2 linked regions of the Arabidopsis thaliana genome follow. The protein of the gene in region 1 purifies or fractionates together with the protein of each later gene. This does not show direct contact. Each region holds a gene or a part of one and is shown on either strand. Other genes may lie near its edges.

Evidence for each region. The genes of interacting proteins can lie anywhere in the genome.
Region 2: the proteins of WEE1 (region 1) and UBA2A purify together in Arabidopsis thaliana (affinity purification with mass spectrometry, with the first as the bait; one large-scale study listed by BioGRID). This does not show direct contact.

What each region holds. Positions count from the first base shown.
Region 1 is NC_003070.9:671,175-674,929, forward strand, and holds the start of WEE1 (WEE1-like kinase), read left to right. Parts: upstream 1-2,131; 5' UTR 2,132-2,233; coding exon 2,234-2,532; intron 2,533-2,789; coding exon 2,790-2,850; intron 2,851-2,924; coding exon 2,925-2,991; intron 2,992-3,266; coding exon 3,267-3,530; intron 3,531-3,638; coding exon 3,639-3,706; intron 3,707-3,755. Other genes in the region: AT1G02965 (uncharacterized protein), read right to left, coding at 487-609, 745-800, 932-971, 1,158-1,232, 1,344-1,374, 1,477-1,640. UniProt on the Arabidopsis thaliana protein: Cell cycle regulatory kinase that is not rate-limiting for cycle progression under normal growth conditions. Transcriptionally activated upon DNA stress or damage in an ATR- or ATM-dependent manner.
Region 2 is NC_003074.8:21,050,669-21,054,423, reverse strand, and holds the start of UBA2A (UBP1-associated protein 2A), read left to right. Parts: upstream 1-2,103; 5' UTR 2,104-2,279; coding exon 2,280-3,716; 3' UTR 3,717-3,741; exon of another isoform or gene 3,742-3,755. Other genes in the region: AT3G56870 (uncharacterized protein), read right to left, coding at 1-1,347. UniProt on the Arabidopsis thaliana protein: Heterogeneous nuclear ribonucleoprotein (hnRNP)-like protein that acts as a component of a complex regulating the turnover of mRNAs in the nucleus. Binds with high affinity to RNA molecules that contain U-rich sequences in 3'-UTRs.

The DNA.
Region 1 (3,755 bases):
TAAATATTAAAATTTTAATTTTAATTTTAGTATTATTTATTAAATTACATGACACGCCTTCCAGAAGATCCACTGCACCTCTACTTTATCTGTAACAAAATATTACTATCCTTTCATCTAACGGTTAAATAGGAAATCCACCGTAGTCATTGATACAGCTGATTATTCCCAAGCTCGAAACGAGAAAAGACTAGAGCGCGCAAATTTTGAATATATTTATTTATTGTCTTTACTTTCCATCAAATTTTGAAGAACGAAAGAACACTGTTGGCTAAGAGGAAAACCCTAGGAACCATCAACCGAGAAGAACGAAGAAGATTCGAAAGATGGAAGGGACATTGGAGCGACACTATTCTGCTTCAATTCGGTCAATTTTCGAAGCTTTCTTTTGAGAATCGTCCATCGTCGAATGTTGCTTCATCGGAGTTTCAGGGTCTTCTCGATTCGGACTCGTCGGAGCTCCGGAATCAGTTGGGCTCCGCTGATTCAGGTGCCAATTGCGGAGATAAGGACTTTATTCTTAGCCAAGACTTCTTCTGGTAAATCTTCGGCATTTCCTGTAACACAATTCTGGTAAATCTTCGGCATCAAATCAGTACTTGTAAGTATCTGTAACACAATTCTGGTTTAGTTATTCTGATATCTTCCGTAGCTAAAAAGGAAATTTCTCTCATCACCATTTGATTCCAATATTCCTCAGAACAAGAAGCTGCGCAAAAGAATTTGAAAACGAAAACGACTCACAGTTGCTTCCACCGTTACATCACCGGGATCCCTAGCATAATTTAGCGCACCACAACCTGAAAACAACACATAAGCTCCTTATGAAAACACTTTCCTTAATCAGTTAATCTATGAACTGCAAGAAGGTACGGGAAACCTGACTGAAGTTAAGATAGTCATAGAAAAGGCTTGATCGCAAAATATATACCTATGAGTTTTTCGAGCTTTGTTTGAAGTATTAATCCTCCCTACAATATTCAAGCCAACTATGGTCAAACCACAATCAAATTCACCCTATAGCTCCTCAAAACTAGTCAAGCCAACAACAATCAGGAATTGGGCAAAATCAAAAGTTCCCATGTTCTTTCTCAAAGACAAATTCTCAGGAGTTCCCAGAGAGCTTTATGCAAGCTCAAGTTGAGATTAAACATTACCTCTTCTTCCTTTGCATTCTCGCTTGGCCACATATCATTTTCTCCCAAACTAACATTGATGATCTCTTCCTCCTCCTCTAAAAGACCAAACAACAGCTTGCGAATCACTTGTTAGACAATGAGCGACCTAAACACTAAGATCTAAAATCGAAATTTCAGATGATAAAAGCAATCATCAGTTCTCACCAGAGATGCTCTGATCGGAATCTGGATTCCCCTGAAAATCCAACAAGAACAAAAGCAAAACTCAAAATCAAATTAATCCAACAATAAAAGAAATCGCAAAAGCAAACAATTCTCAGAGATGTAGAACAGTCACCGGAAGGTTTCTTCGCCGTCACATTCGCCGTCACCGTTCAAATCGATCTCGCCGGCGTGCACCTTTATACCGTCCTTGCCGTTAGTATGCTTGGATATGGGCCCTTCTCTGAGTTTACTTTCTTTTAGTATTAGTAATTGGGCTTTAATAGGCCCAATTCCCATGTTTTATATCCCACATTTTAGAATTAATCAAACATTAATCTGGCAATTCCTTAATTTCACATTCTAGTACAAATTACTGGTCTTTAGTTATAAGGATTAAGGAGAGTTAATTCATGTTTGGAAAAAAAAAAATGAGAAACTTTTTAGTTGTTTGACCAATAAAAATACAAATTGTTAAATTAATTAACAAAAAATACTAATTCAAAATTTTAATTAGTGAATCGTAACAAAAAATATTATATTTCTTAAGAAAGTTGAATATTTAAATTAGTGAATCGTAACAAAAAAAATGCTAGTGCTATTATAGAAAAAAATATTATTTATTAAAGACCCATCAAAGCGTACATGATACGCTCTACAGAAGATCCGCTGCACCTTTACTTTATCTGTAGCAAAATATTTCAATCCTGAAGATTGAACGGTCCAGAATTGATTATATAGGAAGTGCACCGTAGTCAGTCATGCAGATGACTATTCCCAAATTTTAGCTCGAAACTCTAAAAGACGAGAGCGCGCAAATTTTGAATTTATTAATTTATTTCAATTATTTTTCCTTAGTTGAATCACCACCCAAAGTAATAATATTCATCGTCATGTTCGAGAAGAACGGAAGAACACTGTTGGCGAAGAGGAAAACCCAAGGGACAATCAAAACCAGGGCATCGAAGAAGATTCGGAAGATGGAAGGGACATTGGAGCGTCACTCTCTGCTTCAATTCGGTCAATTGTCGAAGATTTCTTTCGAAAATCGTCCGTCGTCGAATGTTGCTTCATCGGCGTTTCAGGGTCTCCTGGATTCGGATTCTTCGGAACTCCGAAATCAGTTGGGTTCCGCTGATTCAGATGCCAATTGCGGAGAGAAGGACTTTATTCTTAGCCAAGACTTCTTCTGGTAAATCTTCGTTAACTCTGGCATTTCTTAGCTGTGTATATCTAATTCGAGATCTATCGTTATCTTCTAGGTAGTTGAATTTTGGGATTAGTTAGTATTACGATTTCAAGATCTGACTTTAGATTTGAGATGGTTTCCCTTATATTCACTTTTTAAAAATGAAAGCTAAACTTATGTCTAGCTAAAAGATGCTTGTGAGATGTTGATGAATGATGGTCTCAGCTACTAATAATTTCTTCTCTGGTTAATTTTTCCAGCACACCTGACTATATAACCCCGGACAATCAGAACTTGATGAGCGGCTTAGATATCAGCAAGGTAAAATTGTTGATTTGGATGTTTATTTCACCAATGTCTCAAATTTAAAGTTCTTCTCTTTATTGTTTTTGTAGGATCATTCTCCATGTCCTAGGTCTCCTGTTAAACTAAATACAGTTAAAAGCAAAAGATGTCGCCAGGGTAAGCTTTCTTTGGATTCAGATTTTGTGTTTAGTATGAGTAAAAAGAAGATTTTCGGATGAGAAGAAAATATACGTTTCAGTTTTTGTGGTACAATTGTTATCATTATAGTTATGTTTGATCTCCTGTTTTAACAACTGTCCAATATTGAATTCTTTATTGCTTTAAGATTCACACTAGTAGTATCTAGTGATTTCATGTTTTGGTGACAGTGTGTTCTTTGCTTAATTTTTTCATTACTCAGTTTTGTTTGTTTTTTTTTGTGTTTGATGCAGAGAGTTTCACAGGAAATCATTCAAATTCTACCTGGTCTTCAAAACATAGAGTAGATGAACAAGAGAATGATGATATTGACACAGATGAGGTGATGGGGGATAAACTCCAAGCTAATCAAACAGAGAGGACTGGATACGTTTCACAGGCTGCAGTTGCTCTGCGGTGTCGGGCTATGCCACCCCCTTGCCTCAAGAATCCGTATGTGTTGAATCAGTCTGAGACTGCTACTGACCCTTTTGGACATCAGAGATCAAAATGTGCAAGTAAGTTTGTTGTCCCTAAAATTCTTGCTCAAGAATTTCCTGAAGGCTTTAAAAATCAATAAGGCTTGGTTTCTTCAGTAAAACTGTACTAAATATACTGTTATGTAGGTTTTCTCCCTGTAAGTACAAGTGGGGATGGCTTGTCAAGATATCTCACGGACTTTCATGAAATCCGGGTAAGCGAAAGGGTCTTTTAGCTTGGAATTGTGATCATGACGGAATTAT
Region 2 (3,755 bases), on another chromosome or scaffold:
TTCTGGTTGGTGGTGTGGTTGTTGTTGCTGGATACTGTCAGTCTCTGCAACTTTTTGAACCTCATCAGGTTCCTTATACAGTTGTGATAGTTTGTGGTCTCCTGCTTCATCTTCATGTTTGGAGTATAAAGATTGTTGTAATCTTTCTGTCAAATGATCTTCTTCTTTTGAACTTGTGCTGTCTTCAGGAACTGGTTGCAGATTATCCAGTGAATTACAACAGTTGGTCAGCTGGAGAATATCAGTTGCTTCAGGAAAATTATCCTTAGTAATGTCTTCAGTTTCCCACACAATCTCGGAATCTTCTGCACAAAAATTGATGATGGACAAACAACCGGGGTAATCAATAGCAAGTATTTCTGGAGCTTCTATCTTCACAATCTCCAAACCAGTTACACTCATATCTAAGTTAGCCTTTATATCATTGCTTTCCTCATCCTCTTTATCTTCTTCTTCGCACCCAGAGCTTGTGTAAGCAGAAATGAAGTTCTTTACACAACCAATGTTCTCATATTCTGAATGTTGTGGATTAACATCCAATTCCATCTCCTCTCTAGACACACTAGAGTACAAAACAATTTGCTTATTCTGAAAATCAGCATCGCTAAACTCTTCTGATGCATCTTCAAAAGCTTCCTCAATGGCTACCACTCCGGGAAAATTTGGCTCTGCACTGCAGTATGGAACCAGCCTCATGTCACTGGACGAATCAAGCATTATTTCTTCCACCAACACTGTATTTATAGGAGATTCTGACTTTTCACTACAATCCATGGCTTCAGAAACTGAATAGCTATCATCCCAAACTTCAGGCTTGACATGAAAGAGCACCAACGGCAAATCAACCTTTTCCACAGATGGAGGAGAGGAAGTAGAAGTACCACACTTTGCTTTTTTACGCTCCTGCTTCTTCTTCCTTCTCTTGGAGAATTTCGTATCCCAACTGCTAAGAGGCTCCTCAATATCACATCCTTCATCTTGGGTCACATACTCTTTTTTAACTTCAACGTTCGAGAATGTCTCAGTAGTAGTATCTCTGCAGTTTCTAAGTTTCCTTTTCCTTTCTTTGCATTGTTTCTGAATCATCTCCAATGTTGTCATGCTAAAATCTTCAGACTCAGAACCTTGTGTAAAATCAGAACCATTGTCCAAATCCCTGACTACTCTTGGAATTGACTCAACACCTTGACTGTCTTCAAGATTGTATATATCCACCAACTGTCTAAATTTGAGCTTTGGTTTTCTTCTGCCATCCATATTCATCACTATTTTGATAGATCCGTCTTTAATGGTTCGGATATAATGTACATGAGAGTTCAAGTGTGTGCTACTTCTTAACTCCACCATTGTAACTATCAGATAATTACTTGCTAACAACTGATTAAGCTCGTATAATCCCCGCGCTCCTGGATTGAAACAAACAAAGGAATTACCGGTAAGGATACTGCTAAGTGCTAACAACAATAAACCAGAATCCTAAATTTCATTAAGCCAATCAGAGAAACGAACATCAATTAGCTACTAAACACAATTTGAAACCAAAACTCTTTTCTTAGAAAATCAATTGCACAAATCTGACCACGAAAAAGGACATGCAAATTAAAAAATGAAATTCACAATGGGCGGCGAAAACCCTAATTTCGCTACATCAATTTTTTTTGTAGCTGTATCGATTCGAGAATGGTAAAGAGCAGATCTGGGTAAAGTAGATGAATGAATCAAAGAGAAATTGAATCTAGGACATTGAATTTACCTTAAGTCTTAATCAACGCTTAATTGGATAGAGAAGGGAAATGAATGCCGAATCCTGGGCTCCAAACTCTAATTTCTGGATCTAGGGTTCACTAAAGAGACAGAGAGACATTAATTTGAAAACAAGACGAAGAAGAAGACCAAGAGACTGAAAATTGCAGCTCTTTGTAAGAAGGGAGGCGAAACCTTTTCTTTGGTTGTCTTGTCTTCTGAGTTCTGACTAATCTTATGAGCCGTCAAGTCTCGCGGGAAACACATGGCGGGAACTTTGACGTTATTCTTTTTTTCTTACTTAAGCATCTTTTCGTAAATGGGTCTTTAAACTTAAAGCCCAATAATCATTAATGGGCTTATATATATAAAATGGTTAGGGGTAAATGTGTAAAAATCCACTTAGCAAAGACTTGAGGTTGATGATATACCACCCACATAGCGGCGCATTATAGATAAGGAGGGGAAAATCAGCTTTTTGGAGAAGAAACCAAAGAAAACATTCGAAACCCTAAAATCTCCATTAGAATTCGAAAATGACAAAGAAGAGAAAGCTCGAAGGAGAAGAATCTAACGAAGCTGAAGAACCGTCGCAGAAGCTGAAGCAGACGCCGGAGGAGGAGCAGCAGCTTGTAATTAAAAATCAGGATAATCAAGGAGACGTTGAAGAAGTTGAATACGAGGAAGTAGAGGAAGAGCAAGAAGAAGAAGTAGAAGATGATGACGATGAAGATGATGGTGATGAGAATGAGGATCAGACGGATGGGAATCGTATAGAGGCGGCGGCGACGTCTGGATCTGGCAATCAAGAAGATGATGACGATGAACCAATTCAGGATCTGTTGGAACCATTTTCAAAGGAGCAAGTTTTGAGTCTTCTTAAGGAAGCAGCGGAGAAGCATGTTGATGTAGCCAATCGAATTAGGGAAGTAGCTGATGAGGACCCTGTTCATCGGAAGATCTTTGTGCACGGTCTTGGTTGGGATACGAAAACAGAGACGCTTATTGAAGCTTTTAAGCAGTACGGAGAGATCGAAGATTGCAAGGCTGTGTTTGATAAGATCTCAGGGAAATCTAAAGGTTATGGCTTTATTCTGTACAAGTCTCGTTCAGGTGCTCGCAACGCACTCAAGCAGCCTCAGAAGAAGATTGGTAGTCGTATGACGGCATGCCAATTGGCTTCTAAAGGACCTGTCTTTGGTGGAGCTCCTATCGCTGCTGCAGCTGTTTCAGCGCCTGCTCAGCATTCGAACTCGGAGCATACTCAGAAAAAGATTTATGTTAGTAATGTCGGAGCAGAGCTTGATCCACAGAAGTTGCTGATGTTTTTCTCAAAGTTTGGAGAAATTGAAGAAGGTCCTTTGGGTCTTGATAAGTATACTGGGAGACCTAAAGGTTTCTGTCTCTTTGTTTATAAGTCGTCTGAAAGCGCCAAGAGGGCTTTGGAGGAGCCACACAAGACTTTTGAAGGCCATATCTTGCATTGCCAGAAAGCTATCGATGGTCCCAAACCGGGCAAGCAGCAGCAGCATCACCATAACCCACACGCCTATAACAATCCTCGTTACCAAAGGAATGATAACAATGGTTATGGTCCGCCTGGAGGTCATGGACATCTCATGGCTGGTAACCCAGCTGGGATGGGTGGTCCAACGGCACAGGTGATAAACCCGGCCATTGGACAGGCCTTGACAGCTTTATTGGCATCTCAGGGAGCTGGTTTGGCTTTTAATCCGGCAATTGGACAGGCTTTGTTGGGTTCCTTGGGGACAGCTGCTGGTGTAAACCCAGGGAATGGAGTTGGAATGCCAACTGGTTACGGTACTCAAGCTATGGCACCGGGGACAATGCCTGGGTACGGTACACAACCTGGGTTGCAAGGCGGTTATCAGACTCCGCAACCTGGTCAAGGCGGTACAAGTAGAGGGCAACATGGTGTCGGGCCATACGGTACTCCTTACATGGGTCACTAAATGTATCATGTATCCATCCACTCAGGTAGAGCAATGAAT